2 linked regions of the Caenorhabditis elegans genome follow. The protein of the gene in region 1 interacts with the protein of each later gene in a pairwise test. Each region holds a gene or a part of one and is shown on either strand. Other genes may lie near its edges. The genes, in order: rpn-3 and rpn-7.

The links.
Region 2: the proteins of rpn-3 (region 1) and rpn-7 interact in a two-hybrid assay, tested with the Caenorhabditis elegans proteins (2 studies listed by BioGRID).

Annotation. Positions count from the first base shown.
Region 1 is NC_003281.10:8,445,602-8,456,403, reverse strand, and holds rpn-3 (26S proteasome non-ATPase regulatory subunit 3), read right to left. Parts: upstream 9,052-10,802; 5' UTR 9,048-9,051; coding exon 8,936-9,047; intron 8,888-8,935; coding exon 8,513-8,887; intron 8,470-8,512; coding exon 7,742-8,469; intron 7,695-7,741; coding exon 7,395-7,694; 3' UTR 7,058-7,394; downstream 1-7,057. Other genes in the region: mrpl-32 (Large ribosomal subunit protein bL32m), read right to left, coding at 5,998-6,117, 6,164-6,366, 6,418-6,646; hsp-110 (Heat shock protein 110), read left to right, coding at 9,515-9,621, 9,670-9,997, 10,103-10,430, 10,474-10,802. UniProt on the Caenorhabditis elegans protein: Acts as a regulatory subunit of the 26 proteasome which is involved in the ATP-dependent degradation of ubiquitinated proteins.
Region 2 is NC_003282.8:9,309,684-9,320,485, reverse strand, and holds rpn-7 (26S proteasome non-ATPase regulatory subunit 6), read right to left. Parts: upstream 3,848-10,802; 5' UTR 3,844-3,847; coding exon 3,781-3,843; intron 3,736-3,780; coding exon 2,893-3,735; intron 2,843-2,892; coding exon 2,516-2,842; 3' UTR 2,256-2,515; coding exon of another isoform or gene 2,127-2,255; 3' UTR 2,082-2,126; coding exon of another isoform or gene 1,956-2,081; 3' UTR 1,910-1,955; downstream 1-1,909. Other genes in the region: F49C12.12 (Ribonuclease kappa), read left to right, coding at 1-95; F49C12.11 (Translation machinery-associated protein 7 homolog), read right to left, coding at 520-554, 608-695, 1,023-1,094; nemt-1 (Methyltransferase type 11 domain-containing protein), read left to right, coding at 1,200-1,404, 1,454-1,583, 1,629-1,747, 1,791-1,909, 1,956-2,081, 2,127-2,255; F49C12.9 (UBA domain-containing protein), read left to right, coding at 4,379-4,517, 4,584-4,684, 4,732-5,169, 5,277-5,516; F49C12.7 (CHK kinase-like domain-containing protein), read left to right, coding at 7,559-7,629, 9,329-9,491, 9,543-9,657, 9,844-9,926, 9,976-10,515, 10,616-10,783. UniProt on the Caenorhabditis elegans protein: Acts as a regulatory subunit of the 26S proteasome which is involved in the ATP-dependent degradation of ubiquitinated proteins.

The sequences.
Region 1 (10,802 bases):
CAAAACACTTTGAAATTTTTTTGAATATTTTGGGGGCTTTTTTTCTAGATCCTTCGAGGTACAACTTTAAACAAAATCTTAGAACATTAGTGAAATTTGTTAAACTTTGGCAATCTTTATTTTTCGCAATTGTAAAAACTGCCACAAAAAGTAAAAACAACTGAGCAGAACCTCATCGTATCCAACTTTTGCCCCTAAATTTGATCGAACGGAAAATAAAATTGTGAGTCAATATTAGAAAGAGAGGAGAAGAAAAAGAACAAATCCAATTTTTTAATTGCCTCCGTGTACGCGACGACTACAAGACGGGCGGTACCAATGTTTTGGTGGAGAAAAACGAGGAAAAAAGTTTTCTGTAGGATTGGAGCTCTAACTTTCGAATTGTGTCAACTTTTTTGTGGTGAAAAGAGAAAAGCGGAAAATCACAAATTGTGATTTTAATTGAATCGGTTGAGAGTTGGTTTGGATGGAGAAGAAAAAAGTTGGAAGCATTGGGTGCACCAGATAGATATATGCATTAAATGAAAAAAAAGTTGAGGGAGTTTGGAAAATAACAGTTTGAGTTGAGGAACAGATTCAGCTACAAGTTTAGGAACGCTGAGATGATATTTGCAATAGCTGGAAGATTTTCAAGAGAAAATATTTTTTAAACTTTACAAAAATTAAACGTTATTTTATTCTATAAAACTAATATCAGCCAAGTTCTGAGGTTTAATGACTTGCAGAACTAACCAAGAATGAATAATTTGCCGTTTGGCTCGTCATGTATCGAAAAAAAAAAAGATTTTCCAAATTTTCAGCGCACACGTTGCGCGAAAGTGCTTAAAAATCTTTATGCTCTCAATCATACTTTGAAATACAAATTGTTGAGCCAGAAAACTTTAGGCCATTCAAATTAACGATTACCGGAATTGAATAAAATCAAACTATTCGCAACTTCTCTCCTGGGAACTAATTTGCTAAAGATGACACGATGAGGGTCAAACTAATATCTAAAAAAACCGAATGGAGGAAATGAGAATACGGGACGAGGATAAGGAAAAGAAGTAGAATAAGAGTAAGAAGAAGTCAGAAGTGTCCAGAAAAGTCAAAAAGGGTTCTAGGTTCGGAAAGGGGATAGGCGGATTAAAGAACGATGATGGCGACGATCATGAAAAAGAAGAAAAAGGAAGAGGTCATTGTAGGCAAAAAGGGAACAAAATTATGGACGGATTAGGGTGAAACGGAAGGAGGAGCGAATGAAAGGAGAGAAAACGGTGGTAGGTACTAGGTGACTGTATTTTAGGTTGTGAAGGATTAAAGGTTCATAAATGGGGAAAAGTCTGGAATTAAATATAGGCGTGGTTGCTCCTCGAGACAGACATTTTAAGGCCTATATAAATAATAACATTTTTGATATATTTCTTCAAGATGTTATGAATTCTCGAACTGCTGGATTTGGTTTTAAAAATTTTCTCTAACTTTCATTTCTCAGGTCTCAAAATTTGTGCACTTTTCTGAATTTTTAGAAAACTCCAAAATTTCGAGCAATTGAAAAAATAATAAAGTTTAGGTTGAAGACAGGCCATGAAGAATAGTTAGGGAGCTATGTTTTCAGTCAAACGTTTTAGCAAACAATTCATTTTTTTTAGGCAGTGTCTTCTTCTAGATTATTCAAAAATGAATCTAGAACTTTTTTTAAATTGAAAATTTTTCCTAGTTAAAAATTTCCATACACTTTCTGGTTAACTTAAAATTGTGGATTTTTTTTCATCCAAATTTCATGTCTAGAAACCAAAAGCGAACATAAATGAAGTGCATTCTCTCCTTCTTTCTGGTCATTCCAATCGGGTAAACAAACCCTCTTGAGACTGACGAACCTCTTTTTTTCCGAAAAAATGAGGTGATAACAAGTGCATTCTCTAAAGACAGGCACACTTGATTCATCCGTTAATTGTTCATCCCCTTCTTTTTTTTAGAAATATGAGAGGGAGTGAAAATGTGCTCATTGAGCCCACCTTGTGAAGCCTTACTTAGAAGAAGCAGAGGAGGAGAAGAAGCCGTTTTTAGGTATTTAGAAATAACCTCCTGGTGAACGAGACAAATGAAGCCATAGCGTCGGAACTACTGTACTTCGAACTTTTCTCTTGTGAGCACACAAGTGAGCATCAGAAACATATGTTTTCGGATGGGTGAAACGATGCGAATAATGAATGCAGTGCCTGGAGATTGGGTTCAAGGACGTACCAAGTTTCATTTAAAAGCTGATGATAGGGTCTTTTTAAGATTTTTTAATAATTATTTTTTTATGGGGAAGTTAATTTAGCAAACGTTTTTGATAATCAAGGCAAACTCATTTTTTGAGTAGATCTTTCCCCTTTTACATCATTGTGGGTGATGCCGAATCCCCCCAAAATGCGCAGCACTGTCTGATTTGCAAAGAAATGTTGTTCTATTTCAATTTGTCTATATAAAGTACTCTATTCTATATCTCACTACTGAACAAATACGAATCTTGCTGAATCATCCAAGAGAGGTGAGCAAAAATAACACACTGCTCAGAATAATTTATATCATTTTTATCTTTCAGACTACACATCAACGCCTTATTGGTTAATTTGTTTGGTACACTTAGATTTCTAACTCAAGATGATAATTATAAAAGCTCATCTATTGATTTTCCAAATATAGTTCTAAAGATCTTGCTCATTTCAATTTTAAAACTGTGTGAGCAAGGGAAACCAGCTCTTGAAAAAATTAGAAATGATCTACACTTTTTATGAAAGAGAGGCAGGCATGTAGGATTGAGCCGAGCGTCGTAGCCTGCAGAATTGTATGTTCACAATGAAAGCTCTCTTCTGGACCAACTGATTTATTACGATACTTGGGAGTTATTGTAAAAAGTAACCTACAAATTTAACAAGACCAATTTTCAAAAAACCAGAACATGAAGGTAGGCAGGCAGGCGGACGGGAATATGAACTTCTACAAAATTTGTACACTAAGACGACATCCCAAGGTTACCTAGCAAAGGAAAACAATATTTAAAAAAGGAAGTTTGGCGAAACTCAAAAAACTCATGAAAATAAATCAAATGTTTCTTGTCTCGAAAAGGACGGACACACTTTTTAGACGAATGATGCTCATCCATCTGCTCTCTTCTCACACTGTGGTGCTCACTCGAAAAGAAGCCTCATTGTTGCTCCGAGCCGATCACCTGGGTTACCTACGGGTGAGCACATGAATAGTGAAGAAAGAGGGCCCGCCGCCGGACGTATTCTTTTTTCTTTTTATTCTTCTTGCCTCGTTATGAGTGATGAGACAAGAGGTCGAGAGTTTTGAAGAGAAAGTTTAAAAGAATTGGGAAAAAGACAATAAGGTCTCAACGAAATGTTGAAGCCCGTCGAAGAGCTTTGGGTTGTTGCTCCATGAAAGGGGTGGGGCTTCTTGGGTTACTCTCAATACTCAGAGCTCAGCCACTGGAAGAAGGGAGGCGTGGCCGGGTAGAAGTTGTTCAAGAATTTCGATTAGACAGAAGGTCGAGAAGTCAAGAAAAATATCTGAAAAAGCTGAAAGTTTCAAGTGTTTTGATCTTACACTGAGCTTAAATTAAACGAGTTAGATTAATTTTTGATCGACTTTTCGAAACGGCTCTGAAACTGGTTATGAAAAGGAGACGTCGGTTGAAAAGTCTGAAAAAAACGAGAAAATGTTTATTGATTTATTGGTATATTAAAAATTGCTGATCGGTATGCTCCCCATTGCCATTCCATGAAATCTCGGAAACGCCTACACGACTGCAAGAAGGCCTGGCCTTGTCTTCAGCGTTCTGCCAACTTACATGCGAAAGTTCTATTGGTGAATTTTCAAAAAAAAAACAGTGAAACAAGACAATGAAAACAATGGAGCACAGGAAAAATATCAGAAAGTAGGCGGTAGGTAGGTAGGCATGGTCAGACATGTGCTCCTGAAGGCTTCCCTAACAAAGAGATCCGCTTCGACCAGTGTACACAAGGTAATACAATTTTTAACAGTTTCAGCTAAAATCATGAAGATGGTCTTTTTTTTTTTAATTTTTCAAAGCAACTAGATCAATTACCTTGTCCTTCAACCAATTCGAGACTACGGTACCCATTAGTTTGTCTAATATTAAGTCCAAATATGGTTTTGTCGGATAATCCTCAACCTCTCATCCTTCTTCTCATTCTCGGTGGAGGCTCACTCATTAGAAAAGGAAGGAAGAGGCTTCTCTTCTACTATTTGAGAGTAAAGTAAACTGAGATAGGCAAAAGAAGAAGAAGAAGCCCCTAAAATGTGGTAGTGAGTCTTTTGGATTTGTGATGGTGGTGAAACCCAATATTCATAGTCACATTGGCTCTGACGATGAGACGGGGTATATCCATGACTTTTAGACAACTAATGAAGATGGACGGGACTTCTTGAACTGATGTTGTGCACTTCAATCAGAAGATATTGTTTTATAGTTCGACTTTCAAAAAAGCACAAAGATCCTACCTGCGTGACTGCCTTCCACGTAGCCTACGCCTTTACAGTGAACGTTCGATAAACTGATTTAAAAAGTAAAATAAAAATGTTATATCTTTTGCACAGTCAAAAAACCCAAAATTTCCAGATATCGAAGCCACAGTACCGGGTCTCGCCACGACTGAAAAATTTACAGATAACTCGCCCGTGAATAAGTGTGCGCCTTTAAGAGAGGTACTGTAGCGCGTCACTTCCCATTGTTCTGTAAATTTCGTATTATTTTAGCCACTTGGTTTACCTTTTTCAGGTAAAGTCAGATATTTTTAATGTTTACTTGCCCTTGTTAACTTTTGTCCCCCTACTTCTTACAGTAACCCAATTCATTCTTTTGCCGACTACTCTCTAAAAATACGAACTCATCCGAAAATTCATGGTATTTCTTTTTTCTTTTCTTTTAATCCATATCTCAACAACACAACTTTACAAGTTGAATAGGAAGGATGGAGGATCGACCGACTGGTACAAAATGCATTCATCATTAGTCTCGAGACAGTGTTGTAGGAGGTGAGACGCAGAGATAGGAGATCGAAATACTCTTGTCACGCAATTCAACTATCAGTCTCAATGTGCGGTAAGAAGCGAACAGATCGAAATAGAAGAGAGAAAAAGTTGAACATCTCTAGAATTCAATGAAATTTTGGGAATCAAATTTTAAAAGTATTGCTGCCTGCTGCTGCCACCTTAGTCGAGTTTCCATGGCTTCCAGAAAACAAACTGTTTATAAGGACTTTTAGAAAATTGGTTTTTTTCGGCAAAACTACGGTACCTGGTCTCAACACGATGATTGTTTTGTTAAATACAAACAGGTGTGCGCCTTCAAAGAGTACTGTACAGTACTCGTTAAAGGCGCACACCCGTTTGTATTTAACGATAAATTGTCGTGTTGAGACCGGGTTTTGACGAAAAAGTCACAAAATTTTGCGCTTTATGACACGTCTTGGATACTCTATAAACCTTTATATTTTTAACTTTTTTCCCACATTTTTGTCTAAAAATTGAATAAACTAATGAACAAAATATTGTTGAATTTTGCATCGTTTCAGAATTCCATTTTGCTTGCATACAAAAGTACAACATATGTGGAATCCCTTACTCACCATTGTAACCCAATATCAAACATCTAAACCGAAGTAATGGATTCCTCTAAAAATCACGCAAACACACATGCAGTTCTCCTACTTCATGTGCTCGAGCAGAGTGATCGTGACAAGAGCACATTAGAAAAGCGGAATGTCAACAAGTGACACACTTTTGGAAACAAGGGTAACCGGAGAGAATATCGATTCAGCTGTTTCACACTTACAACACGCAATGGTTTTGATTTCCACCTGAAACATAAATGGAAAATAGAAATACAATTAGAAAATGGTAAGAGGTTTTTCTATTTATGACTCCAATAAAAAAAAAAATGATGAATGAACAAAAACAAGGAAAACGAACAAATCTATAAAAACCTATAAAAATAGAGGAAAATCATTCTTTTAGTGTCAACTTCTTGAACCAAGTCGGTCGTTCTTTTTCAATTTCGAGAACTCGCTTTCCTTTAACAACTGCTGCCGGTGCATCTGGTTCTCCTCTGAATTTCACATATACCTGAAAGCATTTTATTGGAAAACTAATTTATTTTGGACCAACATACTTCTTTATCCTGTTTCTCTCCAACATATGGATTGTACTGCATCATTTTTTTTTTTATTTCCGAAGTCAATTGATGAACTTTGGCGTAGCAGGCATCACAAATAGTGTCCGATGGATGAATATTCGAGCACGCTGGACATGTCACAAGATTATCAATCGGTTGAAGAAGGCGTGTGAATGAGAACTTGCGAGTTACTTTCTTTGCTAAAAAATAAATTTTGAAAATCAGTTTTTTTACATAACATATAAACGTACGTTTGCTAGTTCTATACTTTGGAACTCCAAAAACAATACTAAAATCGTCAATCATTTCGCGAACACTTCCATATGTCATTGGCAAGTTTTGTGCAGTTGATGATGGATGTGCACCGACATCGCAAGCAAATCCAAATGAAGGAGGTGGTGATCGGTGACTGAAAACTCGCATCAGCGAGTCCATCGACAGCCGCAGGTTTATTATGATCCTTGCTCGAGCCTCATTCATTCTGAAAATAATTTTAAACTTCAAAGAGGAAGAAAAGCAGCGCTATAATCGATCTCGTAGTTAAATAAATTATGTTTTTTAAATGAAAAAAAAATTAAATATCAGAGAGCAATTGACTAAAACTAATAAATTCCAAAATTGAATTCCAGTTAGTTTCAGAGAAAAATAGAGTTTAAATATTAATGGGATTTTCAGTGTTTCCTTTTTTTACTTTTGGTAATACAAAATATATTGAATAAACATAAATATAACTAAAATGATTTCAAGAAAGTTTCTGAACTAAAAGAATTAAGAAAATCGTGCTCGTAATTTCTGACGCAGTTCGTGTGCAGGTAGTGTTTGCGGACATCGTAAAGCAAGTGTTTAGACAAATTACATTATTTTTGTAAAATTTAATAGAATCGTATATTTAGATGTTGCAATACAGTATTTATTCGAAAACTCATGGATTTCTATCACGATAGAATTGAAGATTATTTTTTAGACGATCTTTCTCTTTTAACACTACTTAATTCAGAAATAAAATCGGTGAAAAATACCAATTTTAAACAAAATATATTTTAAAAAGACTTGGTGAAATATGCAATTCATCCTTATAAAATTCATTCGGGTGTGGGAAAAAAGTGGACAGGGATCTCGATTTGAAAAGAGACGAGAAAATTCAAATAAAATACACACAAAATTATTTACGGAGACAGACACGTTCCAATGCATTGTTCAGAATAAATTAAAAAAGTGAGTGATCGGTTTAAAAATCGTCATCATCTTCGTCAGCCAGCTCTTTGGCGAATTCCAACTCTTGCTGCTCGCGTTCACGAGCTTGCTCAATAGTTTCAACAGCGATCTTCTTCTTTGGTGGATATCTGAGAGCTTTGACAGCTTGATTGTGCAATTCGAGGCAGTAACGGATACGAGTATCGAAGTGAGCTTGTGGCTCCGAAGTACGATAAATATCAGCTGTTTCTGAACTTTGCATGTACCGAGGTCCATCACGAACATCAGAAGTGATAACAGCATCGATTGCTCCATCGGCAATAGCCTTCGCCACCTGCAACAATTATAATAAACATAAAACTGTCAATATAAATTACTTACAATGTATTCAGTCTCTGTCTCGTTAGTAATATACAACTTCTTGGCAATATCCTTGATATAAATTCGGGAATACGCCAAAGAAATTTGCTTGATTGCAGTCTTGATGACGTTTTGACGCAGACGAACAATCAATGTGAGAGTATCATCAGCTTCAAACTGTGTTTTGAATTGCTCCAAATTATGATTAAAACGAGCAACATCTCCATCGCGAACGCCTCGACTGAGATCCAGGTAGTGAGCAAGACATTTGCGATAAATTGGTTGACGGAACACACTTCGATCAGGAATCTCTCCTTGTAGAAGACCAATGACAACAACCCACTTCTGAACAGCTTGTTTGAAGCCAATGGCACCTTCTTGTGGAGCTTTTCGCTGAGCTTGCAAGAAATATCCAGCCGCCGAATTGTAATCGAGTTGAAGAGCCTTTATACGTCCTTGATAGTACATGTAGCGGGCAAGATCATTGTTAGATGCATTGTCTGGGAATGCAACTTTGGAGACAAGATGAGCAGCTGATTGATATTGACGGTTGATCAAGTAGCAGCGAAGAAGCCAGCAAATCAGAACGGCTTGTGACTCGGAGAAATTACGGAGAGTTGCAGTACGGAGTCGAGAGTTCAAGAATCCCTGGTGATCGAAAAGACGTCCTTCTCGTTCGTAGATCACACAGAGGAAATAAAGGGTTTTTGCTGCGAGTCCATCCAGTGTACGCCGATCAAAGTTGTAAACTGAAAATTATACGTTTTGTTTGGGTTAAAATATGTTTTTTACTTGATGTGAGTTGATTCTCGCCGAGAGCAAGAGCTTCGGTATTCTTTTTTTGAGCATAAAGATGAAGCAAAACGAGAAGACGCAAGTAGCAATCTGATTCGGGAGATGCAAACACTGGTTTGACGCCTTTTTTTGGAGACTTTGTTTTGACATTCGAAGTATCCATTGGCTGAACTTCAGTATCAGCGGCGGGTGTGTAATGCAAATACTTCAACATTCCTTCGGCGAACTGAGCATCACTGCTTAAATGTGAAGACACGAGTTTGTAAAGAACGTTGTCATTGATCTGCTTGCGAGTTTTCGGCAATACTTGCAACACGCGAGTGATCAAATGTTCTTCTCCTTTGTCGAGAGCAGCTAATTGTTCTTTGATATCTAGAAAAGAAGGCAATCAAAACTTTAGTATTTCTGTATTTCACTTACTTTCAACTGCAATTGCGTTGAGATCTTTTGCTGGCTCGGTGGCTGGGACATCTTGCTTAGCTTCATCTACCTCCATTTTTTCAACGACGGTTTCTCCAGTTTTCGGAGCCATTTCCCTTTAAAATTTGAAAATAAAACGAGTGTCACTAGAATTTGAGCTTTTTTTCACGTAAAATAAAATAAATAAATAAAAACAAACACAACAGAACGTTAATAAAATGAAAAACGATGTTTGAAAAATGATGATTTTGAAAAATAAAAAATAATGCAAGTCTGCTCTGTAGAGAATTTTACATGGGTCTCGCAACGATGTACTAGACGTTTCTCGAATATTCGGTGTGCCTTTAAACACCATTATAAGGGAGTCAGCCTGAGACACGCCCTTTTCGGTCGTTTTTCGCTGTTTCACCTTTGTTTTCTTGCTCACTTTTTTTTTATTTGCTCGAAATTTCTAGAAAAATATTTGGTTTTTGTATAAATATACTTTCAAAGCTTCTTCAACCCATTTTGTCCGTTTTTAGCTGGTCTAAACTGTCTAAACTTTTATCTTTAATTTCAGCGCTCCTGCTATAAAGAATAATGTCGGTTCTTGGATTCGACATCGGTAACCTCAACTGCTACATTGGCGTTGCACGTCAAGGAGGCATTGAAGTTATCACCAATGACTATTCTCTGCATGCCACTCCGTAAGTGTAGTATTTCATAACATGAAATCTAAATATTTATTTCTCCAGAGCTTGCGTATCTTTTGGACCAAAAGATCGATCAATGGGGGTTGCAGCTCGGCAAGCAGTGACCACGAACATCAAGAACACTGTTATTAACTTCAAGCATTTGATTGGACGAAAATTCAGTGATCCTGTTGCGCAAAGATTCATTCCATTCATCCCGTGTAAAGTGGTTAAACTTCCAAATGATGACATCGGAGTTCAAGTCAGTTATCTTGGCGAACCTCACACTTTCACCCCAGAACAAGTTCTTGCTGCCCTTCTCACGAAGCTTCGTACTATTGTGGAATCTCAACTTTCTGACGTGAAGAAAGTTTCAGATTGCGTTCTTGCTGTAAGTGTTTGTTTAATATTTCTGAATAATATCAATTTATTTTAACTATAATTTTATCGAACAATTTAGACTTGAGAAATTGTTAGACAATCGTTTTAATTTTAGGTCCCGTCCTACTTCACTGATGTTCAACGACGCGCTGTTCTCTCAGCTATTCAATATGCCGGATTGAACTCTCTTCGCATCGTCAATGAAACAACTGCAATTGCTCTAGCCTACGGAATCTACAAGCAAGATCTCCCAGAGGAAGATGCCAAATCGCGCAACGTCGTGTTCCTTGATATCGGTCATTCGTCAACACAGGCTTCATTGGTTGCTTTCAATCGTGGAAAACTTCAGATGGTTAACACATCATACGATTTGGAGTCTGGTGGTATTTGGTTCGATGCTCTTATTCGAGAGCACTTCAGAAAAGAGTTCAAGACAAAATACGGTAAGGCCCAATGAAAGTAAATTGATAATTGAAGTTATTGCAGGAATTGATGCCGCAACATCTCCTCGTCCATGGCTACGTCTCTTGGACGAATGTGAGCGTGTGAAGAAGCAAATGTCAGCAAATCAAACTCCAATTCCACTGAACATTGAATGCTTTATGGAGGATAAGGATGTTACTGGAAAGATGCAACGTCAAGAATTTGAGGATCTTGCAGCTCCAATTTTCAACCGTATCAAGCAGGTTCTCATTAACTTGTTCGCAGACGGAGTGTCTATCAAGCCGGAAGAAATTGACGAGATCGAAATTGTCGGAGGATCTTCAAGAATTCCGATGATCAGAGAGATTGTCAAGGATCTTTTCGGAAAGGAA
Region 2 (10,802 bases), on another chromosome or scaffold:
AAGCAACACAATGTTGGATTGCAGCCGGACTCTATGCAGTTACTCTTATTGCAGTCTTTTGGCAGAATAAATACAACACGGCACAAATCTTTTGAGCCTTCTATATCTGCATCAATTGTTCACATCGTCGTATCCTGATTCTCTCGCGATCCATAATTTTTCGAATTTCCCCCTTAAAATCGTCTCTGCTTTTAGAGACGTGCTCATTTCCACCCATATAATTGTATTCTGTAGCATAAGAGTCCCATCCGACATTCCATCAGTTCATTTTCCTGTATATGTTTCTAAAGTCTTCCAAATCAATTTTAGTGATGAATATTTTCGCCTTCTATGATTGATATTCTCAGATAACAATTCATTCGTAGAAATATAGTGATGTTGAAATTATCAAAAAGGGAATGAGCAGAACGGAACGAAGAATATGTAAAATATGGAACGGAAATGGATGAAATAACGAGTCATTTGACGAATTAATAACAGAGGTTGCGGATGAGATGGCATAATATTTGACCGAGGCAATTACTTCTTTCCTGATTTCTTGATTCCTCCACCGACTGCAAAACAGGTTGATAGTTTAATGTTATTTTACTGTTAACAAATAACTTACGAAGTGGTCCACGTTGTCCAGCCTTGGCTGCCATCTCCTTGATCTTTTTGGCTTCCTCTTGTTGCTTCTTCTTGAACTCGACGTCTTCCTGTAACCATGAAATTATTATACATTTTTCGGATCAAAAATTCTCACTATGACCGTTTCAAATGACTATTTATATTAACAACTCATTCAAAATTTAAAATCCTATTCGGTGTACGGAACCATGGCGCCTCCAAGTATCATGATTTCTTGATAAGTGTTCAAAAAATTATATGAGATTATCGTTTTCATCAACCTACGCTCAAAAGTGTGACAATATTGAACGAAAAACTGATCTATTGGATTTCTTCTCTCATTAATCAATTAGTTTTTTTTTGCAATATTACGCCCATGATAAGTATAAAATATCTAGTATCATCATCATTTTCACCTCAGAAAGATCCTTCTCCGTTTTTTTTGCGGCCTTCAGTGGCTTTGCCTTTCCTCCTTGACGTCCGGACATGATGATGATTGGCTGAAATTGAGTTTTATAGAGCTAATTTCACAAAGATTATATTTCGAACAATAATTGTACAAGAATACATTTACTCGTAAACACATATTCACTATGAATCTCCTACTTCACATTTCCTCTCTATTACTACAGTTATGGCTTTGGTTTTTTGATAGATTCATAATGTATCCATTAATGAGAATAGTAGCACCAAAGTTAGGTGTTCGTTTCATGAATTTGGGCTACTGGCCATCATCAGCACCTCAGTACGCAAAAATGAGAATGTTCATGGAAGATCTAGGTGACCTAGATGAATACGGTAAAATGAAAACACTAATCGAGGTTTCCTTGTTAATTTAAATGTTCAGAGTCGGATCGAGCTCATATTTATCTCTATGAAAAAGCATTATCAATGCATCCAAATTATCCTTATTTTGAACAATTTGAAATTCTTGAAGTGAGCTGTGGTCAAGGGTACTCTCTCGATTGGATAGAAAAGTAAGTGTCTTGCATTTTTTTTAAAACGAGAAATATGGAACACAGGTGGCATGGACCAACAAAATGCATCATTGGCTGTGATAAAGTTGTCACTAGAAATATGAATAACATAGTCTACGGAGATGCACTAGATTTACCGTTTGCAGATAATTCGTTTGATTTTGGTAGGATCATATCAAAAAATACCAAAAACATCTTGAAATTAAGTTTTGAATGTGGAAGCAGCTCATCTTTACTCGGACTACAAACTATTTTTCAAAGAGGGCTCACGAGTTTTGCGATCGGGTGGTGCCTTCTGCTACATGGACATTCGATATCCCCATGAGGTTAGTCTACTTGTAAAATTTATATAAATACAGCTAGTGATTACAGGCAAAACAGATTCAGGAGACAGCCACAGCAGCCGGTTTTGTAAAGAAACATTTCGAGTTTTGCACTGATGAAGTAGTTGAGGGCTTAAAATATTCAGCGAGAAAATATGATAGGCTACTAGAGAAAGTAAACTAGGCCAAAAGTTAAAAAATTTGTATATAAATATTTTAGGCTCCTTTCTTCGTTAAATTCTTCAAAAACTCGCTGCGAGCAACGTACTGTGCTCCTGGAACATCAACTTATGAACGATTGAAAAATAAACAGCGGATCTACATCGCAGCGATGTGGATAAAGAAATAAAGAAATGAAGAAGTGAAGAAGTGAAGAAGTGGTATTAAATAACATGTAAAAACATTTTAAAGATAATAAAACAATTGGTATTTGACCAAGAAAGTGTGAATACAGTTTTAAAAATACAGCGATGGTAATAAATTAATTCATTCAACCGGAAATGATGAAGAAGTGGGGAGATTCAAAGCGAGTTAACGCAAAGAAATAATACGGGAGAAGAAGAATAGGGTAAAATAAAAGGATTTACACGTTTGAAGAACTGGGCTCGGTTATGCATTGATAACTCTGGCAAGCTTCTGAATGCGGTTGAGCAATATATCTCCATCCTTGATAACTGCCTTGTACAGATGATTCTTCGAGTCACGATGATTCACTTCAATCACTCCGTTAACAGCATCAATACGACATTGCAATTGCCCAGTCGCAATCAGACGGTGCAATTCGCGGTCGATGAAAGCACGGGAAACACCAAAATCCTTGGCCATCATATCGATACGTACAGTCTTGTAAGGAGTCAAAAATTGTTCGTAAGCGCGATGGCGCATTCCACGAGAGTAATAGTTGAAGTGTGGCGATAGATAGCGATCAAACTTGAACTGAAATATAACGATAAGTGAAAAATACAAGATTTGTTTTAGTAACTTACTCTCTCGCTTTCAAGAGCGGCCAACTGAATGAAGAAACGATCGTAGTGACAATCATAGTATGATTCGAGATACTCACGAACTGGAATCAATGTTCCATTGAGTCCCCCTCCGGTCAGCTGTTCTTGAACTTCATTGCAACGAATAACCTTGGTACGAAGGTCTGGTCTGTCCAAAGCAAAGGTTGTGGTGATGACAGTGTAGAGAATCAAGTTTTCATATGTCATGAGCTCGTATGATCCGAATGTTGGCACAGCTTCAAGGAACAAATCAGCGGCTCCAGCAAAATCACGAACAGACATTCGGTAAAGCGCTTCGTAGGATCGAAGGCGATTTTTGCGTTCCCAGTCTCCTCCTTGCTCCATAAGTTCTTTTGCTTTGGTGATAAACTTGTTGATGAGATGATGATCGAGGAAGAAAAGTCCAACACGAATCATGGCGAAAACTACATCAATACGATATCCCATACCGACTGTCTTCTCATAGGTGGCTGTGTACGCTTTCAGAGCGTTGTCTTTGTCACCGATCTGACAGTAGTACTCGAACTTGCGGAGTAATCCCTGACGCACTTCAGATTCGCCAAGGTTCTTCTCCGCGTCTTCAACTTCTGCGGTGATTTCATCGATCTTTTTCTGATTAGCTGCTTTCATTGCAGCCAATTGTGTTGCATCTACGACAATTTTGAAGTCAGCGCAGACAAGCTCGTAGAATGGCGCCATGTCGAATTCTTTGATAGTTTCCTGAAGCTTCTCGAGCTTGGCTTCTTTCACGCTGCTGTCTACTTCGGGATGATTGAGCATGAATCTGGTTTGTGATAACTCAAGATCAGGCCATCTTGAAATGATCTGAAAACTCTGAACTTGAATGATTTCAAAACTACTGATCCGTACCTCCTTATCGAAGTTTCCATCATCTACGGGTTTCTTCGTGCTCTTTTTGGCAGCCTCTGTCATCCTCCTTAAAATGAAATATGAACACTTGAAATTGTAGCAAACGTTAAAAAGCGGCCAAAACGGAAATAAAACTGTTCAATGGTATTTCAAACGTGAAATAGCATTTTAGTTAGTTTTCATTAAATTTGCTGTAATTATCGAAATATAGATTTGGTATTAATTTTAGTGTCTAGTTTGTTAGTTTTTGAAAATAAGCGTTGATATCTATTTTAAATTCGTAATAGTGCCTTATTTTACATTACAGTGAGCGGCACAGTGAAAACTACGTTAAAATATCTATTTCATAGTGCATAAACAGACAAAACCGTATCAAAATTCAAGAAAACTGGGGGAAAAATTCAAAATGGGACGAATAAAAGTGGGCGGGGATGATGACAAGGGTTTGCAATACGCGGCGCATGCTTTCGCAATTCCGCCGCACGGTTTTATTCATCCTTTCATTATCGAGCGCTCTCGTTATTAGCGTTTGAACGCAGGAAACGGAGCATTTGTTTCGCATTCAGTTTTCAACCGCCATCCCGTTGTATTGAGAAACATGGTTAAATTGCATTTAAAAACCACCTGCCGTGAAGTCCCGATCGAAGAGATAATTTCTACTGGACAGATCCAATTCTTCAAGCATTTATCAGAAAGTACTTCCGAATTCAAAGACCAAAAAAACGTTGAACGTTTCCGTAAGTTTATTTCTTCAATTATCGATCATATTTATTTCTTCAATTATCGAATCAATCACTTTTCAGGTTTGATTTATAACGGAAGAGCATTGAATGAAGAGAGCCTAAAAAAGATTACTGATGCTGATTCAATCAGAGTCGTGCTGCTTCCACCGCTTAAAACAAATGTCAGTTTTTTTCCGTTTGAAACCCAAATTAATTTTAAGATTTTCAGAACCACATCGAAGAAGAGCAAAAAAATCGAATCAGTATTGCTCTCAAGGAGTGTACCGCCCCATATACACGCCCAAATGATCGTCGGCTTCATGGTTTCAACCACGACTTTGCACTTCCAGATCACATGACAACGCTTCTTGAGAAACACCCACAGCTGGTTCATGATAATCAATTTTTATCTGTTCTGAGTGATTGGTCATTATTCCGTGCCTATTGCGTTCAGAACGATTTCAAAGATGATCCAATTCGGGGACAATTCATGTACACGAATCCCGATTTCTTGAAAGTAGTAGAAAATATTCTATCGACAGTAGGATCTCGTTACGGATACGAAAACCTTGATTATGCAAACGTGGAAAGAAATAGACCAGGAATGCTTGCAGCTCAGCGACCAATTGGAGGTGCTCAACCGGTTACTCATGCGTTGCTTCAAAATGTAAGATTTCTTGGACACACTGATTCTCATAATTCGAAAAGAATAATTGAAATATAATAATAGTTGAATACATATTTCTACTAAATTCTCCATGCCAATTTTTTCAGGCTCTCCAAGCAGCCCTGGCAAACATTGCAGTTCCTCCGGCAAATCGGGTTCCAGCTCCCGCCAATGTCCAGCCAGCGCAACAGCAGCAAGAAGAGCCAATGCAGCAAGGATATGAACAACAAGCTGCGACTCTCCGCGAGTTTGGATTTGAAAATGATGAGCTCATTCAGTTGGCTCTCGAACAGGCGAATGGAGATGTGCAAGCGGCTATGGAGTTTCTTATTGATCTCCAAAATTAATCTACACCAATGGTTTTATTCTGTCTTCTCATTAACTTTTTCTGTCTATAAGTGTTCATAATTCGTTTTTAATGCATTCAAATTGCCCTATTCATTCGTCAATAGGGCTAAAATAATCTCATATCTGTTTAAAATAAAGCAGTGAAATGAAATCACCGTTTATTCGTCTAAATCACTCTTCTACAAACTCTTCTCTGCTTATTTAGTGTCTCTGGGTCACTATAACATCGGATAACAACTTATTTCCCTGGGGTTGGGAATGGCAATATTCACTTCGCTTCTGATTCAAAAAAAAATACAAAATAGTCCAGTACATCGGCAAATACTCTTTTACTACGGACATATTTTTTACTACTTCTTATAGTGATTATTACAACGAGTTGAAAATGCATTTTTTATAGTATCATACATTCTAGAAATTAACAATTGTACTTATCAATTAAATAAAATTAGATAGGCCACAGTTTCAGTTTATGCTCGAGTAGTTCTAGCAAATCTGTGTTGCTTTCTTCTGACGGGATACTGAGTTGGAGTTGGCGGAGTGATACTGCTGGGTTACTGTAGTGGTACTGTAGGCGCAATTAATATTTTTTCGCAGAATCAACAAATTTGTTCCATACCTATTGTTTTTTTTGAAAATAAAAAAACATTTCCTGGTCCGTTCGGTAAAAATTTACCGTATTTCCTCTATCAGTTTTGCACCCATTCATCTGTTCCCTATGCGATTCAAATTTCGCATTATAAACACATTCTACAAATTAGGAAAACTCTTACAGACTTGGTATATAAAGTCAGAATTGGTTAGTTATGATTACAACTCGGCCAATTTTTGGCTAGCATTCGTAAAATTCGTTCTTTTGGCCCAATTTTTGCTAATTTGCTAATTTTTGTGTTATAACAAAAAGTTTGCTCTTTTATTGATTAAAGTGGTAATAAGACAATTTCTTCCAATTATCAAACTGTAAAGCCGACATTGGACAATTCTCCGAATATTCACATGTATGTTTAACATGTTTCAGGATTCAATTTGAACATTTTCCATTTATGAATTTGCAGAAGAGGATCGTAACCCATCACGAAGAATCTAGAAGCCCAATCTTTGGTAGTATTGGCTCTTCACATCATACGTTTAATTAAACGAATCAATGAATAATTCGATTTACAATTTTTATTTTCAATCTATGTACATAACCAAATAGATCATTTTTTAAACTTATATAAAAAATCTAGAAATCTTTGAAATCATAAAACCATGGTTATGTTCTTGGTTATTCAGTTCAACGAGTCAACTTATTCAGTTAAGTCAGTTATTCAGTTCAACGAGTCAACGAGTTAAATACCAATTGCAACCAGAAAACAATCTGAGAATCCAAAAACCCTGCAATTAGAATTTTGTTTTCTTCTAATTGTTTGAAGTTTTCACGTACACAAATCAAAAAGATCAAGCATGATTATTAAAGTTTTTGGAGAGCAGGTTATTTTAAATTATCCAAGATTTACCGTTTTTATTTACTTTTGAGATTAAATTATAGACTAAATGCCAACTAAAAAATCTTAATATGATCATTTGAACAATATAAAATCACGAATCAAAGTTTAATAAAATAGTTTCCTTGGTTTGAATGATTTTCCTAATTCACCTGTTTTTTAAAACTTCAATTATCACGAATTTCTTTTAAATTTTTTTTTGTTTTTGCTATTTTCCTCCTTTTTTAGTTTCTGACATGGTTGGATTGAAATAAAAAGAGATTTCAAGCGTTTCAAAAGTTCATTGGCTTTAAACTTCTTGATAATAATACATTTTTATTCAAATTTTGTCTCTAATGGGGTTATTCAAGTAATGTAGCAAAATGTATTAAAATACATTTGTGACGTCACAAATGTATTTAAATACATGTTTTTATATACTTGAATAAGGTTGTGACGTAATTTTTCTACACTTTTTAATTTTCCGACACTACTTGAATAACCCCATAAGGACTTTTTCTTCACTGTGTTCGGTTTTGAAGTTATTAAAATATATTTTAAAGTCAATCACAAAGATGGGACTTTGCCAATCTACAGTGGACGTTTCCCCAGCAAAATCGAATTCCGAAGAAAATGTGGAAAAAGAGTAAGATTTTTAGTTTTTCTATGTTATCAATTTAAACATACTCCCAGAAAATTTGTTTGGGAATTTAAATGGAACAAAGAGCATGTACGAATTTCAGCGAATTTATAAGTTTGCTATTTACCAGTTAGTAATTTTAAAGAATTTTTCGATCCTATATTGAATTAAAAAGTCAAATAATTTTTGAAAGGACTCCAAATATGTACCGAATTACAAATATAACTGCGAAGAAGTTCCAAACAACTTTCCTGATTTTATTTTTGAAAAATGTATTTGCCTTGTAAATTTTATCAATGTCGAATCTTGTTTTCTTTTGCAAATTTTCTTATTTATTTTGGTTTTACAAAACAAATGTACCAAAATATATTTGGCGCTCAATTAAGTGAAGTTGTTAGGAATCAAAGACAAATTTAGTTTTTTTTTGTTGGTATTTCTCAAATTCACTACTCACCTGATAATTCAGCAACTACCAGATAATACTTACTATTACATATATACATTTTCGTTATAACTTTTGTTTCTTTTTACAAATAGCAAAACAAGTCTGACTCATCGTTACTTCTCGAACTTTTACTTTTTTAGTTCTCAATAATTTGTGCAAGAGCACAGATATCTGCGTCTCTTATCATAAAGTTTCATATATCTAAATAAGAAAATCTAGCACAAAGCATAGTTCAAAGCAGAATTTCTTATATTTAGATTTATCATATCATTTTATCAAGATATTAGTGTATTGAAAGTTCACCTGTCCATCGAAATTGTTTATGTTTCGAGATTGTTTATGGGAGTTTAAAACGAGGTACGTGTTGAAGTTGAAAGATTTCAAAGTATATTGTTGATTTTTGGCAGTTGTTAGAAACATGAGAAAGAGTATTGAACTTTTGGAAAAAGTAAATATATATTTGGATACAAATAGTTGAAAGAAGTTGAAAGCAATTCAGTTTACTTTGTTTTCACTTCGAGAGAAGACTTTGTTCTAATTTTCAAGCGATTTTCGAGGCATTTTTATCTTTCTAAGAAAATAAGTAAACTCCCACAGTTTCAGATGCATGAAAACATTTTCAAAATTGGAGAAAAAATTTCGGATTTTTTGATTCCTTGGGAAAATTACAGCTTTAAACAACTAATCTTTATTTTTGAAAATGTTATTTTATGCAAAATTTTGTTTCAATTAGAAAAAAATATTGCTCAATTGCCATGAAAAATCTTAAAATCCACAGAAAAAATTAATTGGTGGATTAATTTTTCGATGTTCGAGGAACGTTTCCATACCAATAACCAAAGGTCACAACATATAATTTCCAAAAACTGAACAAAAAATTATCGAATACTGATAAAAGTTGATAAAACACCAACATTTTCTAGTCAAGCTACACACTTTTTGCTCCTTTTTTCATTTTCTCATCACGTTTCCGCCTTTTTTCCAACAATTTGACAATTGTGTTATGTGTTTCTTATCACAAATCTAAATGATCTTTACTAGCATTTATATGTATACAACAATTTTTTCATGGAAAACCCATAAACCGGATAAAAAACTCCCGGTTACGGGGAGTTTTTTGTTTGCTCCAGGAGGAACTTGATAAGAAATTTGAGAAGTATCATGTGGCTAGACAAATGGTATAAAATGAATTGGTAGATAAACTATGACACATTTTTCGAAATCGTGTGCTCATATTGTACTAAAATTTAAAATTTTCAGAAGAAAAGCAATATCAGAGATGCTTAAAACCGCAGAGCTGGCAGATGGACTCCTAGGAACCACTCTTCAATGGGAAGATGTACAGAAAATTGCAGAAGAGAGTGCGGGACATAACCTGAAAATAGGAGAGAAGAAGACAATCAAACCTTTGGCAGAGGGAGTTGTAAGTTTTTTCTGGTGGAAAATCGGAATAAGGAAAAATTTCAAAACTCAGGGGCTTCAATCTCTGTTAGGTATCGCTGAAATTGATTGGGAAGTCGAAGGAGATGACAAGGCTCCATATCCAAACAAATTTGCGTTGAAGATTGGATCACCTGTGGCATTGCTTCGTAAGTCTAATCATATACCTTAAAATTCTCCGTTTGATTGAAAAACTTGATGTCTGAAATTAGGGGGAATTTGATTTCATTTGAATGTATCTAAATTCAACTGATGAGACACGTCTCTTTTGTACTGAATTTCAATTTGCGTAGCTTGTTTTAGAAACCCTTAAATACTATAAGTTTTTTTTACAGAAGCTCTAGAAGCACAAGCTGCAAAGTTACCCCCAGATGTGGCAGCAAACATTTCGGATGAGTTTATAAGTTTTTTACCTCCGGTATGTTTTTTAAAATGTATTTTTCCAACTAATCACTGTTATTTTCCAGTGCCATAATTCTGAAAACTACTTCTACAAATACATTCAAAGTCTTCCAAAACTTGACATTCTTCCTGATTTCTACTTTGGAAATCAGATCGAATTAGAAAAAGATGGGAATTATTCGAAAGGATGTATTGCAATCGAACTTGTTGAAGATATCAAAACTCTTTCTCCATTGGAAAATTTCAGTGATGATCAGATGCTTCAGGTTCTAGATGCCCTCGCCAAACTTCAAGTTCAATTTATAAATTTATCCGAAGATAAGAGAAGAGAGGCCCCACATCAAGGATTATCAGGACTTTATTCTCCGTTTAAAGATTGGTTCCTCCAGTTGAATAACGGGCTAATGGCTCTCTTCCCCGACCCAGAAATGCAAAAATTGACTGAAACCTTTGCAACAACTCTTCCTGAAATAATAACAGCTGATGAATTGGATTTAGTTCCATGCAAACTTGGAATGAAGAAGGTATTTGTGCATGGTGATTTATGGTCAGCAAATATTATGTGGAATCAAGAAGGACATTTGAAGAAGTTGATCGATTTTCAGGTATGTTAAGAACATATTTTTACGATCATTACTGCAATAAGATGTTCAGTGACAAAAAAGTTGAGAGGGGTTGGTATCCGCGTTACATGTAAACTTCCAGATGATTCATTTTGGTTTGGCTGCAACTGATTTGGCACGTGTGATGAATACTTGTTTAAGTCCAGAAGAACGTCATGCTAATAAGGAAAAGTATCTTAAACATTACTTTGACTGTCTTACAAAACATTGCAAAGAAGATGATCATCCAGTGCCCTTTGATTTAGAGCAGGTAAGAAATTTTCATCAAT